Linked DNA regions of Callithrix jacchus. Each later gene encodes a partner of the first gene's protein in a complex. Links are inferred from orthologs where the notes say so. Each region holds a gene or a part of one and is shown in the gene's direction. Other genes may lie near its edges. The genes, in order: PPP4R3B, PPP4C, PPP4R4 and PPP4R1.

What was found.
Region 2: PPP4R3B (region 1) and PPP4C share a complex: the UniProt entries of both Homo sapiens proteins name them as parts of the PP4 complex. The link is inferred for Callithrix jacchus from reciprocal best matches to the Homo sapiens genes PPP4R3B and PPP4C.
Region 3: PPP4R3B (region 1) and PPP4R4 share a complex: the UniProt entries of both Homo sapiens proteins name them as parts of the PP4 complex. The link is inferred for Callithrix jacchus from reciprocal best matches to the Homo sapiens genes PPP4R3B and PPP4R4.
Region 4: PPP4R3B (region 1) and PPP4R1 share a complex: the UniProt entries of both Homo sapiens proteins name them as parts of the PP4 complex. The link is inferred for Callithrix jacchus from reciprocal best matches to the Homo sapiens genes PPP4R3B and PPP4R1.

The regions. Positions count from the first base shown.
Region 1 is NC_133515.1:58,563,591-58,570,295, forward strand, and holds the start of PPP4R3B (serine/threonine-protein phosphatase 4 regulatory subunit 3B), read left to right. Parts: upstream 1-2,276; 5' UTR 2,277-2,593; coding exon 2,594-2,735; intron 2,736-4,363; coding exon 4,364-4,419; intron 4,420-6,705. UniProt on the Homo sapiens protein: Regulatory subunit of serine/threonine-protein phosphatase 4 (PP4). May regulate the activity of PPP4C at centrosomal microtubule organizing centers.
Region 2 is NC_133513.1:29,435,131-29,441,074, reverse strand, and holds the end of PPP4C (serine/threonine-protein phosphatase 4 catalytic subunit), read left to right. Parts: intron 1-128; exon of another isoform or gene 129-187; coding exon 188-239; intron 240-1,379; coding exon 1,380-1,430; intron 1,431-1,637; coding exon 1,638-1,739; intron 1,740-2,280; coding exon 2,281-2,454; intron 2,455-2,540; coding exon 2,541-2,667; intron 2,668-4,251; coding exon 4,252-4,441; intron 4,442-4,518; coding exon 4,519-4,648; 3' UTR 4,649-4,965; downstream 4,966-5,944. Other genes in the region: T-box transcription factor TBX6, read right to left, coding at 5,782-5,944. UniProt on the Homo sapiens protein: Protein phosphatase that is involved in many processes such as microtubule organization at centrosomes, maturation of spliceosomal snRNPs, apoptosis, DNA repair, tumor necrosis factor (TNF)-alpha signaling, activation of c-Jun N-terminal kinase MAPK8, regulation of histone acetylation, DNA damage checkpoint signaling, NF-kappa-B activation and cell migration.
Region 3 is NC_133509.1:129,079,574-129,085,517, forward strand, and holds part of PPP4R4 (serine/threonine-protein phosphatase 4 regulatory subunit 4), read left to right. Parts: intron 1-1,817; coding exon 1,818-1,923; intron 1,924-3,388; coding exon 3,389-3,536; intron 3,537-3,727; exon of another isoform or gene 3,728-4,075; intron 4,076-5,944. UniProt on the Homo sapiens protein: Putative regulatory subunit of serine/threonine-protein phosphatase 4.
Region 4 is NC_133514.1:53,378,065-53,384,008, forward strand, and holds part of PPP4R1 (serine/threonine-protein phosphatase 4 regulatory subunit 1), read left to right. Parts: intron 1-72; coding exon 73-245; intron 246-1,527; coding exon 1,528-1,623; intron 1,624-3,953; coding exon 3,954-4,139; exon of another isoform or gene 4,140-5,240; intron 5,241-5,944. UniProt on the Homo sapiens protein: Regulatory subunit of serine/threonine-protein phosphatase 4. May play a role in regulation of cell division in renal glomeruli. The PPP4C-PPP4R1 PP4 complex may play a role in dephosphorylation and regulation of HDAC3.

The DNA.
Region 1 (6,705 bases):
GAGCAAGCACTGGGCCCTGTGCTTTGGAGGAGTCTGAAGTCCATGGAATCATGGGACTAAAGCCACCTGCAGCCAACTCTCCCTTTTTCAGACCATGCTGTGGGCACTCTAGAATTCCCTATCCCAAAAGCCAAGCCTGATTCCAGGGTCTGCACAATCCTCTTCCCAAGTTCAGCCCTCCTGAGAAGCAACCAAAGGGTGAGGCTGGACAGAAGGCTGGAGCGTCTAACATCAGGCTCAAAAATTGTGTGAAGCATTCTCTGACTCTTCCAAGGCAGAAATGTTATTTTCTCTGAGGTCAAAACACATTTTGTCCACATTCATCACATCAATTAACTGGCTCTATTGTTATGTACTATATCATGATGACTTAGCTCAAGTACATTTTCTGAGGTCTCCTATAGATTAAAAAAAAAACACACACAAAACAGCAACTGAGAAGTCCCATTTGGGCACCCTTCTCTTTTAAAACGAGAAAAAGCTGTTTTCTGGGCCGGGCGCGCGCAGTGGCTCAAGCCTGTAATCCCAGCACCTTAGGAGGCATAGGTGGGCGGATCACCTGAGGTCAAAAGTCTGAGACCATGCCTGACCAACATGGAGAAACCACGTCTCTACTAAAAATACAAAATTTGCCAGGCGTGGGTGGCGCATACCTGTAATCCCAGCTACTTGGGAGGCTGAGGCAGGAGAATCACTTGAACCTGGGAGGCGGAGGTAGGGGTGAGCCGAGATCGCGCCATTGCACTCCAACCTGAGCAACAAGAGGAAAACTCCGTCTCAAAATTCAAACAAAAAATACTGTGAATCCAGATTTTGAAATAATTATCAGCGCGTGTGTTCTGTACACTGACCCACGTTGTAGTATACTGCTGAAGGGTGTCCACTCATAAGTGATCTGGTCAAAACATAAGCACGTTTTAACAAGACCATTGATTAACTATGACTACAACTCCCAAAATGCACTGCAGGGTCAGTCAGCGTGCATGACTCGCCTGGTTTTCACTGAAGTGGCTAACGGGCTGCACAGAAGTGACAGCTGAACAAGCTGAGAGACTGTATTAAAGAACGAACATAGCCGGGGTGGGGATTGGGCGTCTGTGGTCCCAGCTACTCCGGAGGCTGAGGTGAGAGGATTGACTGAGCCCTAAAGGCGGAGGCTGCAGTGGGTCAAGATCGCGCCACTGCACTACAGACTGGGCGACAGAAAGAGACTGTCAACCAACAACAGAATGAATAAAGGGATTCTACAAAGAGCGAGCTGGGATTTAAATAAACGACACGCTACTACGACCCAGTGCGTGAACCATATCCACCTCGCAAAGTGCGACAATAGCCTCGATGCAGAGGAAATTTCTCCTTCGCTTATTCAGTGCAGGAGACCCCTATAGAGAATACAGGAAACGCCCGTGAGAACCTGAATTATCGAAACAATGACAGATGTTAGGAAAGTAGCTCCCCGCCACTTCCCTAAACTTATCTGCAGACTTACTTTCCAAGGTTACAAACATGGGAAGAGCATTGTATTGCATGAAGCGGAAAATGTGCTTTCCAATCGCCAGCTATTAAAAGCCTGGCGGTGGTGAAACGCTCTGAGGGAAATAGGAAACTGTCAACACACTTGCACGAACCGCCTGGAGAGCTGTGTGCACAGACACTTCCTGGGCAGATGCTTAATTGTAACGAGGTTTAGTGGGCTTCTATTCGGCTGAAAGAGTTCTACTCTTTTTCTTTTTCACAGAAAGGTTTAAATTTCACAGTTTGTTCTTTTTCACAGAAAGGTTTGAATTTTTTTCCCTCTGGCGGACGGAGTGAACTTCCTTCCATCAAGATATGCGAGCACTTTTCTTTCTGTACCTGGTTACTCCGGTTCAAGGCTTCGTACTTCCCCGGTTTGCTTTGCTTTTTCCTCAAAACTGAGTTTCTGCGAACATCACACGCAGCTGCCAGCTAGCCTATAACCTGACGAAGTGCGGAACCGGACTCAGCCCAGCCGCCTTCCGCCGAGCAGCCTCTCGCGGCGCATGCCGGGAAGATCGCGAGAACCTCCTGCCCAATTACGATCCCGCGCCAGGAGGCGGGGCCGAAGAGGAGGAAGTCTCGCTGAAGCACTCCTGCCCCAGTCGTGTACCCTTCCTCGCGAGAACGCTGAGCATTCCGGCTTCGGAAGCGCTTGTAGAAGCGGAGGTGCGGTTCATTGAACTCGTCGGCCGCCGTAGCCCCTGCTAGGACAGCCCGTGCGAGCCTGCTGGAGGAGGAAAAGAAAGGCAGAGAGAGTCGGATTACAAGATGGCGGATCTGTAGTAGTTACCGCGGCGGTACCGGCGGCGGTGGGAGAGCGAGCGAGCCCTGGGGAGCAAAGGGACCGGAGGGTGGGTGTATGCGGGGGTGAAGTGAGAGGTAACAGGGCCTCCGGGCGAAGGGGTCTCAGTGGCTCTTGTCACCCCTTCTCGCGGCTGAATCTCTGGACCATGGTGAATTCGGGCCTCTCCGGAGCCGCCGCCGCCACTACCGCCTCTACCGTCTCTCAAGAGTGAGGGGCGCGGACGAGGTGAGCGAGGAGGCGGCGGCTGGAGCGGTGGAGACAGCAGCCACCATGTCGGATACGCGGCGGCGAGTGAAGGTCTATACCCTAAACGAAGACCGGCAATGGGACGACCGAGGCACCGGGCACGTCTCCTCTACTTACGTGGAGGAGCTCAAGGGGATGTCGCTGCTGGTTCGGGCAGAGTCCGACGGTAAGGTTATCGGAACGGTAGAACAGGGGATAGTGCCTCTGATTGGGGCACAGTCTGGGGTTTAAGGCCCTGGGCCGGTTACCGTTACTACCACTTCGGGACAGCGCGTTGGTTCTAAGCTGGAGCTTGTGTACGCCAAAAACAAACTACTGTACTTTTGACTGGACTTATCCTCAGAGACTGAGACTCTGTCCGCCTCCCATCCCTCTTAAGGATTGGACTTCTTCTTTTACAGTCCCTCCTCTTTTGAAGAGGGGAGAGTGTAAGAGAAGGGAGGAAGTAGTGAGAGACTAGGTACTGATGTCGCCGTAGGAGCTGACACCCTCCTCCCCCTTTATTCCTTTATTTTCGTATCCATTATACATCTAGTACAAAAGGTTTAGCGAAACTTTTCTTTCCGAGTGTCGTTAAAAGAAATTTACCAGTGGGCCCCAGGTGCCACAGTCGGCGGGTGCTGGGGAAAACCAAAAGGCACCTTTTCCTGGCTGTATTGCTGACTGTTACCACGATACATGGACACACAAGCACATACATCTTTAGTGTGGGATTTCTTTGGGCTGCCTTTGTAGAAGGCGCTGTGAAAAAGTGAATGCCTTGCAGTCTAAGCAAGTTGGGACACCAAAGCAGGTTGTAAACTCATATTCTTTGATTTATTGTAGTCATGTGAAGTATTTTAAATTACAAAATGTAGAGCCGTAATTAAAACGCCTTTTATATTGTAATCTGGACTTGATTTGAACAACTAATATGGGCACTTAGAAAACTAATCTTAGGTTTATTCTTGACATATTTTGTTTTCTTGCACGTTCCCTTTTATTTTAAATAGTCAACGCTTATTTCTACAGAAGGTGTTCTTTTGTTCTTAATGAGAAAAGGATAAATGCAGCACTTTAATTTGTATACCAAGTATTTAATCCCTGTCATGGTGTTTTGTTTTTGTTTTGTAATTTGCTTTATTGTTAAACTGGGAATACAATAAAACAACTTTTACTTTAAAAAACGGCTTGAAGTGGTCATTTAGACCTTAAAATTTTTATTTCAGTAAAATTTTAATAGCCATCTAGTCTCCTCATTCCTTGGTTTGAATGTTGGTTTCAAACGAATTTTTTTCTTTAAGAGTGTATGGGAATAGTAAGAAATATTCTAAATTAAATATGAAGCCTAGACTTGGAGAGAAAATGTGAATTCGAATACATTTTATTACTTCAGATATCCAGTTGGGTCAAAAGACATGAAAACGTTGGGGGGGGGGGTGTGGTTTTTTTTTTTTTTTTTGAGATGGAGTCTTGCTCTGTCACCAGCCTGGAGTGCAGTGACACAATCTCAGCTCACTGCAACCTCCGCCTCTTTCTTAAGCGATTCTCCTGCCTCAGCCTCCCCAGTAGCTGGGACTACAGGCACATGCCACCACGCCCAGTTGAATTTTGTATTTTTAGTAGAGATGGGGTTTCACTGTGTCTGCCAGGATGGTCTTGATGTCTTGACCTTGTGATCTGCCTGCCTCGGCCTCCCAAAGTGTTGGGATTACAGGCATGAGCCACCGTGCCTGGCCTTAATGTGTATTCTTATTTTTATTTAGGTTTTTATCATTTTAGACTTATGATATATTATTATTTTTTATCTTTCAGGATCACTACTCTTGGAATCAAAGATAAATCCAAATACTGCATATCAGAAACAACAGGCAAGTAGTTGTTTATCTTTAATTTGAAAGACTTCATCTGTGATCAAGGAAGTATTAATCTGACAAAGGTGGGAAAGCTTTCCTGACAAGAAAAAACATGTTTAGTAAACAAAGATCATGTGTATTTCTCTTGCAGGTTAAAAGTTTCAGACTGAAAAGTGAGTTTTTGTACTGGTGATAATTATCACCATTTTTGAATTGAACCACTGTCAGTTTATATTAGATTATGATGTATTAGTATTATTTAACTATAGTTAGCCAGGACTCTTCTATACCTTGTATATGAAACCTTTTATTCTGAGTCACATTTAAAGAAAATGACTTGAAAGAAAATTCAAAGGGACACTTTTAAGAAAGCCTGTTTGTGGTGTGAAATTAAATCCTTTGACTTAGGTAAAGATAGAGGTTTTGAAGTAGAAACATTAAATTCTGCTCTTTAATTGTTGTATATTTTTATTATAGTAATCAATGGATACTTTATAAAAGTGTACATTGCCAATTATGTACCATCTTCTGTTAATATTTATTGTTTTATTTGGGAAAGAAAATGTGTGTTGTATTTTAGCATGCCTGATTAATCTGAAAATGATAGCAGTGATTCAACCTTTTTATTCTGTGAATGTTTTTATTTTTATTATGAAATATATTAAAATTGAAAAGTACAGAGAATAATGGGGGTCTACTGTAACACCACCAGATTTAACAATGTTAACATTATATCATACTTGTTTCAAATACTTTTGTAATATTGAACATTATGGATAGAGTTAAAGCTTGTTTGTATCCATCCCATTCTCTCCATTCTCCATCCTCTACATAGGTAACCACTATTCTGAAGTTGATGTGTATTCTTTGTGTACATGCTTTTATACCTTTTCTGCATATGTATGTATCCATAAATAATATGTAGTCTGTTGTGTGTTTTTAAACTTTACACAGTTGATATCGTACTTTTACATGTATTCTGCAGCTTGCATTTTTCACACATTCATTTTGAATATTTGTTCATGTTAACAATGTAGATCTAGTTTTCTTTTTAAACTCTGTATAGTATTCTTATTTATGACATACACCTGTTGTTATACATTTGAATTATTTCCAGGTATTTTGTGTGTGTGGTATGTAAAGTGACAATGGCAGAGATTGTTGAAGGAAGATAAATTATTTTAGGATTACATTTACAGCATCAGTGCTTCAAGGTTTATGAAAATTTGGATGCCCAGAAACAAGTACTTCATAGTTGGAGGAATAAAATTCTGTCTGTTGTGCAGCTTATTAATACAAAGTCTTACTGTTAAACAATTGTTTTATGTATACAACACATTCTTAATCAGTTCTTTGAAATACTTTAAAATTTTCAATATTCAATTAATAGCTTTTTTCTCTGTTTAGAAAATATTGTGTGTCTTTTTTGATGGAGAAGCAAATTAAACATTTGTCCTGAATTGAAAATCTGAAGATGTTTCCTATACCTTAGACATTTTAAGGTAGACATTTAAGTATATTTAATTTTTAAGTCAGCTGGGCAGTTCTTACTCTATCTTTATACTGAATTTTTACCAGATAATCACTTTTGGTTTATTTTTGTTTGCTTGGTTCTTTGTGGGGACAGAAATACTAATTTTTTTAACCATATTTCCCTTATCTGCATAAATATAAAATTATCAGGAACTTTTTATTAAATGTAACTAAGTCATAAATAGTTCCATACAAATTTAGTTAGAATAATGGATTCTTCTCAGATCATATGTAAGATCCTTTAGCTGTTGGAAAGATCACAGTATGGAGTAGGCTTGTAGTTGCCCAACATAAGTTAAAAAAACACAGTGGTTCTCTGAATACTTTAGAATCATTAGGACATGTAGGTAATTTCGTGTATAATGTTACTGCACTAAAAAATTATTTCTAGATAATTAGCATTTTTGTATACACTAAGTATAAAGTATTGGAGAAAAACTGTTTTATTTTAAAAAATTATACCATTTGGAATGTTTTCCGTAATTACAAATAATATACTATTTGGACTTTTTAAAACTGTGGGTTTTTTTGTTTGTTTTTTTGCTATGTAACATTGACATATATAAGAAAACTTTGGTAATGAGAAGAATATGGAAACACAGTGTAGAAGAATGAAAAACTGGTATGAATGAGATTACCTGTTTATTTTTGTTTAAATTGAGTTCACTTTTCTAATTGAAATCATAGGGCCACTTAGGAGTTATGTTAAATTTAGTTTCTTTGTAATGGATGTGGTTTTTTACATTTTCACCCAAATCTTCAGTTTGC
Region 2 (5,944 bases), on another chromosome or scaffold:
GGGAGCCACGGAAAAGTGTTGCATGCTGGAGGGCCGTGGTCAGCCTGTTCTGGGGAGACTGTACGCTTCACTCTTGTCCCCTGGAGGTTCAAGGACTGCCTCATATCCTCCCCTCCCCCCCAAAAAAGGTCAGGAATTGGGCTGGGCTGGCCTGGCTGTGGTGACCCTGGTCTTCTCCTGTCTCCAGAGAGATCTTGGTAGAGGAGAGCAACGTGCAGAGGGTGGACTCGCCAGTCACAGTGAGTACTTGCTGTCCCTGCAGAGCCAGGCCTTGTCTTTTAGGCACATGGACTTTCCCCTTCATCTTGGGGGCTCCATAAGCCCACCCCTAAGCCCCTTTTATCTGTCCCTTCCCTCATCTTCAAGGGAGCACTGCTATAAGAAATGGGGGTTGCCGGGCATGGTGGCTTACACCGTAGTCTCAGCACTTGTGAGGGCAAGGTGGGCAGATCACTTGAAGTCAGGAGTTTGGTGAAACCCCATTTCTACTAAAAATACAAAGGCTGGGTGCGGTGGCTCACACCTGTAATCCCAGCACTTTGGGAAGCCGAGACGGGCGGATTGTGAGGTTAGGAATTCAAGACCAACTTGACCAACATGGTGAAACCGTGTCTCTGCTAAAAATACAAAAATTAGCCAGGTGTGGGTGTAATCCCAGCTACTTGGGAGGCTGAGGCAGAATCGCTTGAACCTCTGAGGCCGAGGTTGCAGTGAGCCGAGATTTTGCCACTACACTCCAGCCTGGACTACAGAGTGAGACTCTGTCTCAAAAACAAATAAGTAAATAAAAATACAAATACAAAAATTAGCAAATTAGCTGGGCATGGTGTTCCATGCGTGTAATCCCAGCTACTTGGGAGGCTAAGGCTGGAGAATCGCTTGAACCCGAGAGGTGGAGGTCTTGAGCCGAGATCATGCCACTGCACTCTAATTAAGCCTGTGTGACAAAGGGAGGCACCATCTCAAAAAAAAAAAAAAAAAAAAAGAAATGGGGGTTGTGGGAACAGACCTTTGATTTGTTAGTGGAGACTTGGCCAGAGCAGAAGGACTTATATTTGGCAAGTGATTTTGCTCACTTGTCTCCAGGGCTCTGTGTTAGTAATTTGATTCTGGATACTTTGAGGGGAGCAGAAAGAGGAGGGGGCCAGGACATACACCTGCTAGGACTTAGTTCTTCCTCAAAGAATAGTTGGTACTTAGTGTGGGACAGTGGATGTGGTTCCAGACCTCGCCAGCTTGGGTTGGGAGAGGAGAGTTTTGGCTCTAGGAAGTAGAGGTGAAGCCAGGAGCGATAAAGCTCCCTAAAGCAATGGGTATTTGGAGGGTAGCCCCTGGGAACTCCCACCACTCGAGTTCCAACCCCCCTTCCTGCTCCACAGGTGTGCGGCGACATCCATGGACAATTCTATGACCTCAAAGAGCTGTTCAGGGTGAGTGTGTGGCCAACACTGAAATGTAACTGGGGGATGACTGGAAGACCCCTTTAATCGAGGGTGGAAGCCTTAATTTGGGGCACAGAGTTGGGGTAAGAGGCCCCGAGTTAGATGGGCAGTTGTGGAAGACGGGCCTCCTGGGCAGGAACAGGTAGGGGGTAGGGGATGGTTTAGGATTGGGAAAAACCTTTCACTTCCCTACAGGTGGGTGGTGACGTCCCTGAGACCAACTACCTCTTCATGGGGGACTTTGTGGACCGTGGCTTCTATAGCGTCGAAACGTTCCTCCTGCTGCTGGCACTTAAGGTGACAGTCCCCGGCTTCTGTACCCCAATGTAGGCCACCGCAGGCTGGGCCTTCTTAGTTCATTCCGCCCTCATCTACCGTGACCAGCCCCACCTTGCAGCTGTGTCGCTGGTCATGAATTGCTTCTGCCTTTGGGGACGGTCAGAAATTTGGTGTGGGGGGAGGCCAGCAGAGCAGCATTCTGGGAGGGGTAGAGGCTTACTGTTGAGAATGTGCCAGGTGATTGATGCCACTGGTGGGAGAGGTGGTAGGGGTCAGATGACAAAGGGCTGTGTGCCTTACTAAGGACTTGGTCTGTGTCTGGCAGGTGAAAGAGGAGCCATTAGGTTCATAGTTGATGGGGAACAGTCAGGTTTACATTCTCTGGAAAGGGTCCTGCGGGCCTGGGAAGTGGTTGGTGCCACACGATTCAGGTGAGAGGAGCCAGTAGTGTGCTGGGCAGTGGTTGTGAGGATGGCATGAGGCTGGCAGGTGTGAGGAGGTTAGAGGGGGATGTGTGGAGGGATAGTCTAGGTACCAGCCTTGGCTTGGCCACCCCCAGGTTCGATATCCTGACCGCATCACACTGATTCGGGGCAACCATGAGAGCCGCCAGATCACGCAGGTCTACGGCTTCTACGATGAGTGCCTGCGCAAGTACGGCTCGGTGACCGTGTGGCGCTACTGCACCGAGATCTTCGACTACCTCAGCCTGTCGGCCATCATTGATGGCAAGGTAGGCCAGCCCAGGGCTCCATGGGATGGGGAGAGGAGGGGGCTCCGGGCCTCAGCCCCGCCCTCTTTCCTTGCTCTCCCCTATAGATCTTCTGTGTGCACGGGGGCCTCTCCCCCTCCATCCAGACCCTGGACCAGATCCGGACTATCGACCGAAAGCAAGAGGTGCCTCATGATGGGCCCATGTGTGACCTCCTCTGGTCTGACCCAGAAGGTGAGGACATGTGGGCCGGGGCAGGCAGGGACAGCCGGGAGGGTTTGGGGAAGAGAGGGAGCAGGGCTGGCCATTAGTGTCCATCTTCCACCTACCAAATGGCTGGAACCCTGGAGGAGGAACAGGGAGGCCTGCATGGCGGATGCTTTGAGTGCACAGTGGCTTGAGGCATGGCCCAGAGGGCTGTGGAGGACCAAATCATTGCTCCCTGAAGTGAAAGGGCCTTGGAACATGACAGCAGCTTCTTCAGAGGTCAGAACCCCAGAATGATAGCCCCTTTGAGACCCTTCATTTTGTGGGTTCTCCACTAGTGGAGCAGAACTGAGATTTAAAATCAGGTCTACTGAGGAGCAGTCCAGAGTTCCTGCTGTCGCACACAGGCAGCCTCTGCTCCAGCACAAACACACACATGTACACACACATGCACAGTCAGCCTCTGCTCCAGCACACACACACACATGTACACACACATGCACAGGCAGCCTCTGCTCCACACACACACACATGTACACACACATGCACAGTCAGCCTCTGCTCCAGCACACACACACATGTACACACACATGCACAGGCAGCCTCTGCTCCAGCACACACACACACATGTACACACACATGCACAGGCAGCCTCTGCTCCAGCACACACACACACGTACACACACATGCACAGTCAGCCTCTGCTCCAGCACACACACACACATGTACACACACATGCACAGGCAGCCTCTGCTGCAGCACACACACACACATGTACACACACATGCACAGGCAGCCTCTGCTCCAGCACACACACACACATGTACACACACATGCACAGGCAGCCTCTGCTCCAGCACACACACACACATGTACACACACATGCACAGGCAGCCTCTGCTGCAGCACACACACACACATGTACACACACATGCACAGGCAGCCTCTGCTGCAGCACACACACACACATGTGTACACACATGCACAGGCAGCCTCTGCTCCAGCACACACACACATGTACACACACATGCACAGGCAGCCTCTGCTCCAGCACACACACACACATGTACACACACATGCACAGGCAGCCTCTGCTCCAGCACACACACACACATGTACACACACATGCACAGGCAGCCTCTGCTCCAGCACACACACACACATGTACACACACATGCACAGGCAGCCTCTGCTCCAGCACACACACACACATGTACACACACATGCACAGGCAGCCTCTGCTGCAGCACAGACACACAGACACATGCAGCTGCTGCTCCACAGCCACTCCCGACTGCTCTGTGACAGCACAGAGTGCCCTTAACGTCTCTGGGACCACCGCTTTCACTCCCGTGTGCTGTTCGGACAGGGAATTGTATGATCACTGTGATTCAGAGGGGGCCCCAGCCATTGGTTCTTTCTTCTCTGGAGCTTATCTGCCCCTACCTTTGCTGTCCTGACCCCTACCATTCCCCAGACCATATTCAGGCCCCATGCTCTGGTCCCCTGGGCCTCTGGTGGCCTTTGGGAGGGGCCCGGCTGCTCACCTCAAGGGGCAGCACTGGCAGCCAGAGAACCCTGAGGACCTCCATCCCTCCCTTGCCCCATCAGACACCACAGGCTGGGGTGTGAGCCCCCGAGGGGCTGGCTACCTGTTTGGCAGTGATGTGGTGGCCCAGTTCAACGCAGCCAATGACATTGACATGATCTGCCGTGCCCACCAACTGGTGATGGAAGGTTACAAGTGGCACTTCAACGAGACCGTGCTCACTGTGTGGTCAGCACCCAACTACTGCTACCGGTGAGCCGGCTGGGCCGGGCTGGGAGGGATGGACATCTGAGCCCAGCTGCTCCTGACCCTGCCGTCCTGCCTTCCAGCTGTGGGAATGTGGCAGCCATCTTGGAGCTGGACGAGCATCTCCAGAAAGATTTTATCATCTTTGAGGCTGCTCCCCAAGAGACACGGGGCATCCCCTCCAAGAAGCCGGTGGCCGACTACTTCCTGTGAGCCCCTGGCCCCTGCCCCCTCCAGCCCTTCTGGCCCTCGGACCACTGTGACTCTGCCTCTTCCCCAGATGGAGGCTGGGCGTGGGCGGAGGGCTGTCTCCAGCTCTGCTCTCCCCCAAGAGGGTGCTTTGAGGGTGAGGACTTCTCTGGAGAGGCCTGGAGACCTAGCTCCATGTTCCTCCTCTCCTCTCTCCCCACTTGAACCATGAAGTTTCCAATAATTTTTTTTCTTTTTTTCCTTCTTTTTTCTGTTTGTTTTTAGATAAACATTTTGAGAAAAAAAAAATGAAAAAAAAAATTCTAATAAAAGAAGAAAAATGATCTTTGGGTTTGTGCCAGACAGACTTGGTTGGGGATGTGCAGGGTTGCTGGCCTGGGACCTCGGGAGGACGTCAGGGCCTTGACTGCCTCAGGGCCCGGACCTGGCAGGAGGGCCTGACTCAGGCCAGTCAGCTTACCCAGGGCCTCCAGGGGCTGCTGTCTGCTGGCCTCCCCAGCGCTAGGGAGAGGCTCACTTCTCATGGCAGCCTTATTAATGACTGACAACATGAGATTCTGATTTCTCCAAAGAGGAGATGGGCATAGAGAGCCAGTGGATTCTGTGCTAGGTCAGGCAGCTGGAAACACAGGTTTAGATCTGGGCCTGGGTCTTCTAGCAAAGCCTTTGTTCACCCTGCCCCGCCCAGGGCCAAACACATGAGCCCAATGTTTCCTTAGCACGATGGCTCTTGAATTTTATTAACAAAAATACTCTGGTCCCAGAACAGACTGGTGTGGCCTGCACCAGTGGTGTTGGGGGTGGTGGGGACTGAGCCTCCCAGAGTCCATGGAGAGGCCTGAGAGGTGGGGATGCTGGTCTGTGGCCCCATTTGGCCAGGCAGAGTCCCCTCCATTCACACAGAGGTGAGAGGCGGGAAGGGGAAGCTGGCCCCAGCTGGACTCCCAGCAGCCTTGGTTGGGCTTTGAAGCCAGAGGGGGGTGGGAGTGAAATCAAGGTGTGAAGTTGGGGGGTGGGGGGCATGCCCAAGGCAGCCATTTGGTGTGGGGGATGGGGCCGGTGGAGGTGAGGGGGCTCCAGGGCTGGGGGAAGGGAGCAGGAGGTTTATGATGGAGGCAGAAGGGCCCAGCATTGGCTCAGTACATGGGTTTGGAGCCCACATCCAGGTAGCCCCCAGGCCCAGGGTATGGTAGAGGGAAGGGGCCCCCTTGGAGAAAGTGGGGGGCAAAGGGTGTTGCTGGCGGAGCCGCTGGGTACCCAGAGGCCCCTGGCCCAGGTGGCAGCTCCAGAAATGCAGCT
Region 3 (5,944 bases), on another chromosome or scaffold:
AACTATAAAACATGGCTGAAAGAAATCATAGATGACATAAACAAATGGGAAAACATTCCATGCTTATGGATTGGAAGAATCAATATTGTTGAAATGGCCATATTGCCCAAAGCAATTACAGATTCAACACATTCATATCAAACTACAAGTGTAATTTTTTACAGAATTAGAAAAATTATTCTAAAATTTATATGGGACCAAAAAAGAGCCTGAATAGTCAACTCAATCTTCAGCTGCTACTTCAGCCCTCTGAATACCCAATTTTCCTGTCAGCCTTTTACCTATTAGTTTTAGAGTCTATTGATTATCCTTACTTGAATCAGTGATTTCATTGTAACTTGCAAAATAATTTTAAAATTCCATCATTTCTTATACATTTTTGATGGTGGCATTCTGTGAAGAAGTACATTCCTTTGTCCTCATTGGTTATTTGATGACCTTGAGCTACATTTACTAATGTAAAGACAGGATGAATTCTTAATATTTTTCCTCTAATTATCAATTTTCAGAGCTAGGATTTGATGCAGTAGCTATTTTTAATGGTGACAAGAGTACTTTGTTTTTAATTTCGACTCTTTTAGATAAAATAATGTCATTGCAGTTATTTTTTGTGTACAAATTGTCACAACTTCTTTAAGCTGGCTTTTCAGGCTTTTGACCTGATTACATTTATCTTTGACTTTGGGCCCAAAAGAATACCTTATGGCATAAACTATATATAATATCTATTTTATATGAGATACAAAATGTACATATTTTCATATGACTAGTGTATATGTATTTGAAATTTTATCAGTAAATACAAAATGAAAGGAAAGAATAACATGCTTTTATTTTGTTTGCCATTTATCAAAAATTCATTTTCCTTAAGTCCAGTCATGTTTCTGCTTATGTATATTTCTTAAATTTTCTAAATCATAGGAAATAACCTCTTTTAACATTCAACAGATTAAAAACCCCTCTCAAATTGTACCGGATAGAATGTGAATAGCTTGTATAAAATATGAGAGGAGGTAGCAGGTAACACTGTCTCAGCAACATAGTTTCATTCTATTTGAATTTTGAGGATTCCCACTATGATATTTGGGATCTGTAGTAATTCAACATTATATTTGTATGCAAGTCAAGATAATGAACGTGAATTTATACTGGGCACAATATACCTGGTTAAGAGATTTTTCTCTAATGTATGGTTTGAACCCAAACCCAGGAAAGAAAAATGGCTGTATTTATTTAACTTAAGGTTCTGCTTAGCAGTGTGACAGAAATTCAAAGGACAAAGGGACTTGAAATACCTTTAAGAGTGATTGACATGATATCTTTTGAATTCTAAACTTCATCTGTATCATGAAGAGCTAGAATTAAGCCAGAAGGATTGAAGAGCATACCTGATCATGGGATCCCTAAGTTTATATTTTAGTAGTGGCATATTTTTGGTGATATACCTGACACATGGCATGTTTTAGCAAATGTTGTCAGATGAATGAATGACAAAGTCCAGGGAACAGCTAAAAGAATAGGTGACAGGGATGTATTTGATCATTTAAGGTGAGATGGCAAGGAAATGAGCGTCATATCTGGATGATTTGGACATGACTATGCCAAATTAACTTTGTAATATCATTATTAGTTGATTTGCCTGGTGGTTAACATTAATTTGTGAAGATACTTCCAGAAGGATAGAAGTTCAGTGAGTTGAGAGACAGTGAACACTTCCATTTCTTTTTAGTCAATAACTTAAAATTGATTTGGTGGGGCCAAATTATCTAGAATAGAATTAGCCTAGTGTAACTGTCTGCCTTATTTATTTCTTCAAGAATGTCTTACCTGTCCAAAAGGCAGCCTCACGAACTCTATGCATTTTTCTGCGTTATAATCGAAAACAAGAACAAAGACATGAGGTCATTCAAAAATTAATTGAACGTAAGTAAACATTATCTACTATTTCGAAAAAGGAAAGTAAACAAACTAGTTGGCTTTAGTTATATTTGACTTATGTGTCATTTTGCTGTGAATAATTAGGTTGATATTGGGTTTTATAAGTTGATTTTCATTTTTAAGAAATCCTTATGGCAAGATTAGATCTATGATGAATGAAAGAAATAATTACTCTATTTTCTTTTGTGAATTTCTACACTTTAGAAATTAAAATATGTTTACTTATATTGAAAGCCCAGTTTCTACTCTGATGAAATAACATTTGGAACTAAAATATAAATAGAATATCCATGAATCTAATCATTTATTTTATGGTCCTATTTCAATATTAACATAATTAACAGAATCTGGGATTTTTCCTTGAATAGAGTTGATAGTATATTTGAATATGAATTTGATGAGCCTAGTTGGTTTATAATGCCTTAAGAAACTACGTCAGTTTACAAATGCAAATTTATTTTGATTTGGTAAGAGCTAAAATCAAGGCAGAACCCTTTGGTTTATAGTATTGATTCTAGAAATAGTTGCACATACCCATATATACTTAGTAAGTTTGTTAATTATTGTATATTTGCTTTGCCTATAATGTCTTAATGTTTTTACTAATCTATATTATCCAGCATAGGCAGGTAATGGGATTTTCTAGTTATTGGAGTTTACCATTTTAAGTGTGGATCACTACTTTTCAAAAAATTAGACTCCTTTTATAAAATTCCATTTAAGAAAAGGTATGCTCAGCATACTTTAATCTTTCTTTTTATAGTCTTATTTTAATTCAGTTTTCAGTTTTCAGTGGTAAGACCTCATGTTTAGAATGCTTTATTTTGAAAGAAGATTCAGTTTGGTTTTAAATATTAAGAATTTTATTTTTGAACGTTTATGTAAAAAGAAAACCTTTTTAATATTGATCTCAATTATTATCAATAATACTGTTTACATATGACTGTATCTAGCATTTTTAAGGAAACAAAGGGAAGAAAATTTGATTATTAAAACACTTTGAAGTTTTACAGACCTGTGTTTGAATTCTAGCTCTGCACCTGCCAGCTGTATGACTTTAAACTCACTAAATCTCAGTATCCTTATGTTTAGGAGGAAGAAATATGTGCATCAATTTGGGCTGCTTTTCAGGGTTAAATGAGATAATATGTGTAAAGTACTTAGCACATAGTGGGTGATAAAAAGTAGTAAATGTAGTCATTCCATAGTTAATAAATGCTTATGAAATTGAATGAAATGTTTGACAAATTTTTTTTTATGGTTTTTGAGGTGTCAATTTGGGGATTTACAAATCTGAGGTATATAATAATGATTTTTTTCCTCTTATCTCTTGTACTTGCTAGCCAAATTGTGAGTATGAAGAAACTTGTTATGAATTTTGTGTGTCTAATTTTGTCACATTAATTTCATGTAGGAAAAATTAACTTAAGATGATTTTTGTTGTTTCTAGAATTGGGCCAAGGAAAAAGTTACTGGAATAGACTTCGATTTTTGGATACTTGTGAATTTATTATAGAGATATTTTCCAAATCGTTTTTCTGTAAATATTTCTTTCTACCTGCTATTGAACTGACACGTGATCCAGTAGCAAATGTGAGGTATGTTATCAATCAATGAAAAAATTTGAAAACATTGTATTTATTTTTATCTACTGTAGTGAACATATGCAAAGTCTTTTTCTTAGCCAATTAAAAATTTAAGTGAAGAATTTACACATGCTTTGAAATTGTTAGTATTCATAATTGATGGGTATCAGTAAGACTTGGAAGCACACTCTTTCAGCACTGTCTCAGATCTTTTGTTTTATTGGGTTGAGAGCAGCAGTAAGTCAAAGCCAGATTGGTAACCTTCTTTGGCTGTTTAGGCATATGCATTGCAATGATTAGAAGGTGGAGTAGATATTATTAATTTTTCATTAAAATTAAAGAAAAGTTGGTCAGTAGCCTTGTTGCTTCAAAGTTGGCTTGGTGAGCATCCGTTAGTTTTTCGAGGCCCATTTATTCAAAGAAGTAGTATTGCTTCGAAGTCTTCATCTTGTCTTCTATGTTTAGCTGCCTTACATTTTTGAAATCCACTGAAATGTTAATTGCATTTGATTAACTGTTGAGTTGGATGGACAGACCTGAAAATGGCTTGCCTGGAAATGCAAAAAAAGAATAAATATATTTTGTCCTCTTTCTCCCCAAATGAGCACATCTTCCTTTTTTTTTATTGTGGTAAAATATATAATATAAAATTTACTATATATTTTATATTATATATAATATATAATTTACTATATATTTTATATATAATATATATCACTGAACTATAAAGTGACATTAAAGTTCAGTTTACATTAAAGTAAACATTAAAGTAAATGCACATTATTACTTAAGAGCTATTTTTGTACAATTGATAAAGAATTTTAAACCCTCAATCATTAGATTACTGTGTTCTAAGTCCTGCATCTCCATTTTGAACTTGAGCTCAAATCTGTAGGAAAGAGAAACATCAGAGTCAGTTGGCCAAAGGCTTTCCTGGACAAACTCTTGAACTCCTTTCTAAATTTTTATACACTAGGGGCACTTAGTTTTATGCATCAGAGAGATGCATATGTACCTCTTTTATAAACAACTGATGTGAATTTTAGGCAATATGTAAAAACATCAAAACTTTTTAATAGGAGGAGTTGGTGAGATAATAAGCTAGCTAAGATTAATAGCCTTGGTGTTGAGATATGTACAAAAATGAATTGTCAAAAGATACTGAAAAGTTCAACCTAAGAATTTTATGAGCATTTTTTAATGGGAACAAATATAGAAGTTTTTGTTTTGTATTTTAAATGTGAGAAAATATAGAAAACACAACTGCATTGACTTAGTTTTCTGTGCATATTTCTTGTGCTTTATAAATGAGAGGTGATGTATTACTGACATTCAAAACAGCATGGTACTGGTACAAAAACAGAGATGTAGACCCATGGAACAGAACAGAGGCCTCAGAAGTAACGCTGCACATCTACAACCATCTGATCTTTGACAAACCTGACAAAAACAAGCAATGGAGAAAGGATTCCCTATTTAATAAATGGTGTTGGGAAAACTGGCCAGCCATATGCAGAAAACTGAAACTGGATCCCTTCCTTATATTGTATACAAAAATTAATACCAGATGGATTAAAGATTTAAACATAAGACCTAACCACATAAAAACCCTAGAAGAAAACCTAGGCAGTATCATTCAGGACATAGGCATAGGCAAGGACTTCATGATTAAAACACCAAAAGCAATGGCAACAAAAGCCAAAATAGACAAATGGGATCTAATTAAACTTAAGAGCTTCTGCACAGCATAAGAAACTATCATTAGATTGAACTGGCAACCAATGAATGGAAAAATTTTTTTGCAATCTATCCATCTGACAAAGGGCTAATAACCAGAATCTACAAAGAACTTAAACAAACTTACAAGAAAAAAGCAATCCATCAAAAAGTGGGTGAGGGATATGAACAGACACTTTAAAAGAAGACATTTATGCAGCCAACAAACATATAAAAACTCGTCATCACTGGTCATTAGAGAAATGCAAATCAAAACCACATTGAGATACCATCTCACACCAGTTAGAATGGTGATCGTTAAAAATCAGGGAACAGCAGATGCTGGAGAGGATGTGAAGAAATAGGAATGCTTTTACACCGTGGTTGGTAGTGTAAGTTAGTTCAACCATTGTGGAAGACAGTGTGGTGATTCCTCAAGGTTCTAGAAATAGAAATGCCATTTGACCTAGCAATCCCATTACTGGGTATATACCCAAAGGATTATAAAACATTGTATTATAAAGACACATGCACACATACGTTCATTGCAGCACTGTTTACAATAGCAAAGATTTGGAACCAACCCAAATGCCCATTAATGATAGACTGGATAAAGAAAATGTGGCACATACACACCATGGAATACTATTCAGCCATAAAAAAGGATGAGTTCATGTCCTTTGCGGGGACACGAATGAAGCTGG
Region 4 (5,944 bases), on another chromosome or scaffold:
AATGGACAAAAGCCCTGTAAGAATATTGCAGTTGTGTTTCTCACTTTGTCCATTTACTTATTTTGCCTGTAGCACAAGTGGAAGTGCTGTCTGCTGCACTACGTGCTTCCAGCCTGGATGCGCATGAAGAGACCATCAATATAGAAAAGAGAAGTGATTTGCAAGATGAACTGGGTATAAATGAGCTACCAAATTGTAAAATAAGTCAAGATGATTCTGTGCCTTTAATCAGCGATACTGTTGAGGTAACAAACTCAGTAAAGTGTTTACCGAGTGAGAGTAGTTTGAATCAGAAGACTTTTCATTGGGGAATAGTTTTAGCTAATCACTTTTAGTTTGTATGTTCTGTTTGTTGCTGAGTTTTTAGCTCTTCCTTGTTTTCATCACATCCTGTCCTTGTGACACCAGTGTCATATGAATTGCCTGGAAAAGTAAATCCCACTTTTGTCTATATGACCATTTAGTAGACTCAATGTTAATGTAGCTCACTGCAGTGAAGTAGTCTTACTGGAAACAAAGCCCTTTATCAAGAATAATTAACTCTTCCCTTTTCTTTTTGGAGAGGTGCTTTGTTTCTGATCGGACCATTTCACTGCAGCAAGCAACACAATATTCTGAGCAGAAGATCGGGACTTGAGGCCATGTTGCGGAGGGCCAGTGACATTATCTGGACTCTGGAGTGTGAGGGTGGGTACTGATCCTAGCATCATCTTCACTTGTACTTGTAGCTGTTCTCTATGATCCTTCCCTAATTTCCTGCTGCATCTCAATCAAGCCAACATTATTTGGTAACAGTGCTACTTAGCTCTTGTTTTTATTAATGGGGAGAAGGAATACCCCACTGCGTGCCAGAATCGCATGGTCACAGATTATACTGGCTTGAATGGGAAGCTCAGGAAAGAGTGCCTGCACACACACTGGGGTTGGCAAGAGGGTTCTTAGAACATTAGTGCGTTTCTGTTTTGATTTCAGTTAGATGGCATGTGGTATAGTTAGAAATCTGTATAATACCACTGCTTTGGATTGAAACCCTGACCATTTATTGGAGATTTGAATAGCATTAATATATCTGCATCTTAGAAGGTTTTTATGTTGTTGTTGTTACTGTTTTTGGCTGTTAACATGTATATAACTTGTGAAATTGGATATTAACAGCCAAGAATAGAAATAGAAGAAAAACTGCATGTGACACTCCATGGTCTCTAGAACAATGGACCAAAAGAATCTTCCCAGTACTATTTTATGAATAAGCCAATTTGAGCTATTTGGACCATTTCAAAATTACTTTGAGATATTATTTTCAGTTACTCTCATTTTTCTGGAATTGGTTTTCATGCATTTGGCAACCTATTCAGTAAGATAGATTTAAAGCAGGAAAAGTTCTTAGGTATGTTTATAAGCTTTAAAAACATGAGGAATTTATATGTGTTATTACTTTTGGCAGTCTTGAAAGGTAAGTAACTTAGATAGCTAAAATGAAGATGTACAGACAGGATAGCTCTTTAAGTAGTTATTTTTTCCTAACAGAATATGGACTCCACTCTTCACTATATTCACAACGATTCAGACTTGAGCAACAATAGCAGTTTCAGCCCTGATGAGGAAAGGAGAACTAAAGTACAAGTAAGTGACCAAAAAAATGTATTCTTTTGTGTGTCTGTTCCTAATTCCTCTTTTAGAGCCCATTTCTGACCTAATTTGACCCTTCTTTATGATGAATGTTTTAAAAATTATGACTAGTATATCATATTTTCCATTGAAATAGTAGAGGAACATGTAAGCACAAATCTTCCCTTTCCTACCCCTGTGATCCCATTCTTCCTTCAGAGTGACCATGATCATGAACCCTGCTATCTTCCTTCATGTATCTTCATGGGCACATAAATGTACACATGTACCCCTTTTTATCATTCAAGACAACTGTGGTCATCCCATCCTACCTAGGTATGTCCTCATGTTCCCATTGCCAATAATTATAAAATATAGCTTGATTTCAGAGATGAAAATATTTTTAAAAAGGCTCAAAGCCATTTTAAAGTGCTGTCAGTAACAAGCTGCAAGGAAACTGTGCTCATGGAATCACTGGAATGTGATAGCTGTGCCTTGCCTTGCTCTTTTTTTTTCCTCTTCTAACAATGTGACCTGGTGATCTCTCCTGTAAGCACACCAGGACTCCCTCACCTTCACAGCAGCGCAGCACAGTGTTAACGCCATACCTGTTGTCTCCCTCGTAAGAAACCGTGAGAGATGCTACCTGTTGTAGTTTCACTTTGATGCTATAAGTAGTGCTACATTCACCATGACTGCCTATACTTGTTGTTTGCTTCTAGGACTTTATTATTATTTGAGATGGAGTCTCCCTCTGTTGCCCAGGCTGGAGTGCCGTGGTGCCGTCTCGGCTCACTGCACCTTCCACCTCCTGAATTCAAGCCATTCTCCTGCCTCAGCCTCCCAAGTACCTGGGACTACAGTCACAAGCCACCCTGCCCAGCTAATTTTTGGTATTTTTAGTAGAGATGGGATTTCGCCATTGGCCAGGCTGTCACGAACTCCTGACCTCAAGTGATCCGCCTGCCTTGGCTTCCCAAAGTGCTGTGATTACAGGTGTGAGCCACCACACCTGGCCTGGACTATATTATTATTGTTAGAAGTAACAATAATTTCCCAGGTCAAATGGTATATTTTGTTGTTATTTTTAGAGATGGGGTCTCAGCTCCCTCTGTCACCCAGTCTGGAGCACAGTGGCAGGATCATAGCTCACTGCAGCCTCGAACTCCTGGGCTCAAACAATCGATCCTTCTGCCTCAGCTCCCCAAGTAGCTGGGACTATAGATGCGCACTACCGTATCTAGCCAATTTTTATTTTATTTATTAAAAATGAAATATTCAAAACAGTGTTCTGAAACATGCTTCTTCCCCACTTACAGACATATTTTCAATATTTCAAATCATTATTTTAATGAGTTTATTTCCATTTTCATTTTGTGTATATGGGTAATTTGTTTATGTAGTTCAAAATTCAAGATACTTAAAAGGCATTCAGTGATGTTTCCTTCTCAGTTTTTCTTCTCCATTCATCCATTTTGCTTTTGAGATACAACCAGTTTTACCTTTATGTCCTTCCATAGCTATATTATACACACCTAGGCAAGATCGCAAATATGTTCTTCTTTTCTTCACATATATACAAATTGATTAGAGATGTGCTCTTCAATTTTGTATAAAAAATTGCTTAAATTTTCATCTAAAGAAGCCATGTTTTTAATTTTTGTTTTGAGGCAGAGTCTCGCTCTGTCACCCAGGTTGGAGTACAGTGGTACTATCATGGCTCACTGCAGCTTCTACCTCCCTGGGCTCAAGTCATCATCTCACCTCAGCCTCCTGAGTAGCTGGAATTAGAGGTGTGAGCCACCATGCCTGGCTAATTTTTTAATTTTTTAGTAGAGACAGGGTCTCACCATGTTGCCCAAGCTGGGCTCAAGTGATCCACCCACCTTGGCTTCTCAAAGTGCTGGAATTACAGGTATGAGCCACTGTGCCTGGCTGTTTTTTTTTTAATGAACATGTAAATTGTGCAGAGCACCTGTTATACTGCATTTGCTGGGTTACAACAAGCATTATCATCTCTGCCTACATTTAAAGGTGCTGGTGTTATTTTAATGTGTCTTTTCAATTTAGTAATTAATTCTAATTGTCCTTTGAGCTATTTTCTGTTTTAAGATGTTATCCATTGTTTTCCTAGAGTTACTTTTATTTGTTCATATATGTTTCCCTTAACATGGTTTTCGTATCTCTTAGTTTATTAGATACCAGAAAATTTGGCATTGGTTTTTCCCATTTGAGATGCTATGTTAAAATCTGTATATTTAAAAATAGTTTTGCTCAATTGATATCTAAACTGCTCAAAATGTATCTCAGCTCCTCAGTCACTGTGGTTTCTCTTTCTCCATTAGGATGTTGTACCTCAGGCTTTGTTAGATCAGTATTTATCTATGACTGACCCTTCTCGTGCACAGACGGTTGACACTGAAATTGCTAAGCACTGTGCATATAGTCTCCCTGGTGTGGCTCTGACACTCGGCAGACAGAATTGGCACTGTCTGAGAGAGACATATGAGACTCTGGCCTCAGACATGCAGGTGAGTAAAGCAGTTAAAGAATTAGCAGAACATGCATGTGGAAAGCACAGTGCTTTGCTTTTTGTAACCTAAAGAATTTCTGTTCATGTTCTAGCATGTACTTAATGCTATAGGAAATTATGTATGGAAGAGCTTAAGAGTAATAATGGCTTCTTCTCCGATAAAACATCAAATGGTGGATGATGCTGGTGCAGCGGAGGGGGGCGTGGGCGGGGATGCCGGAGGCCCCGGGCACCCTGGGGGCCCTGGGATGGGGAACCGTGGTGGCTTCCAGGGAGGTTTTGGCAGTGGCATCTGGGGCCGGGGTCGTGGCCACGGAGCTCGTGGACGCAAAGCTGAGGAAAAGGAGTGGATGCCTGTCACCAAGTTGGGCCGCCTGGTCAAAGACATGAAGATTAAATCTCTGGAGGAGCTATATCTCTTCTCTCTGCCCATCAAGGAATCTGAGATCATTGACTTTTTCCTGGGGGCCTCTCTCAAGGATGAGGTTTTGAAGATTATGCTGGTGCAGAAGCAGACCCATGCTGGCCAGCACACCAGGTTCAAGGTGTTTGTTGCTATTGGGGACTACAATGGTCACGTCGATCTGGGTGTTAAGTGTTCCAAGGAGGTGGCCACTGCCATCCGTGGGGCCATCATCCTGGCCAAGCTCTCCATTGTCCCCGTGCGCAGAGGCTACTGGGGGAACAAGATTGGCAAGCCCCACACCGTCCCTTGCAAGGTGACAGGCTGCTGTGGTTCTGTGCTGGTGCGCCTCATCCCCGCGCCCAGGGGCACTGGCATTGTCTCAGCACCTGTGCCCAAGAAGCTGCTTATGATGGCTGGTATTGATGACTACTACACCTCATCTAGGGGCTGCACTGCCACCTTGGGCAACTTTGCCAAGGCCACCTTTGATGCCATCTCCAAGACTTACAGCTACCTGACCCCTGATCTCTGGAAGGTGACTGTATTCACCAAGTCTCCCTATCAGGAATTCACTGACCACCTAGTCAAGACCCACACCAGAGTCTCCGTGCAGAGGACCCAAGCTCCAGCTGTAGCTGCAACATAGGGTTTTTATACAAGATAAATAAAATGAATTAACATTGCAAAAAAAAAGAGTAATAACGGAGTGTGTTCTTTTTTACACTGTCAGAGCCCCATAATTTGGCTTCTTCATTTTTATCTGAAGCGTTAGAAATTGTTATCACATTCAACATGCTTAAGTTTCTAACTTAAAATGTGTTATTATCTAAAGTTTATCTGTAGGTTAATTGTTGATAATATAGGATTTAATTTTTCACATAGAAATAGTATTATAAATGCTTATTTGATTTTCACACTTGATCTCAAAATATTTATTTAAACTGTAATAGAACTGTACTGTTATTGGCAAGTATGAAGTTCTGGGCCCTTCGTGCCATGAGCATTGTTGTATAGATGAAAGAAGGTCCATGGTTATTGCTTTCTCCTCGTCCACACACACCACCCCCACCCCCTTTCAACAGAACACACAAAGTAAACCCTTGCTTCAGGTCATTGTGTCTGGAACTTTGTGACTTTCGTGTGGTACCTCTTCCTAAGCTTGGTGATGTAACCTTCCCTGCCAGGGCTGATTTCTGTGTAACAAAGTTTGCACCTCTTCAGTGAAATTGATCTCTCAGTTATTAAAAAAAAAAAAAAAAAAGAAAAAGCTGATTAGGCTAATTTGTACTGAAATGTCATGACCTTTCCTTAAACTTCTTAGTAATTACTGTATTTTTCAAGGAATCAATGCCGTTGACTCAGCAAGTTAGAAGTTGCAAGTAATCTTGATAGTTCAT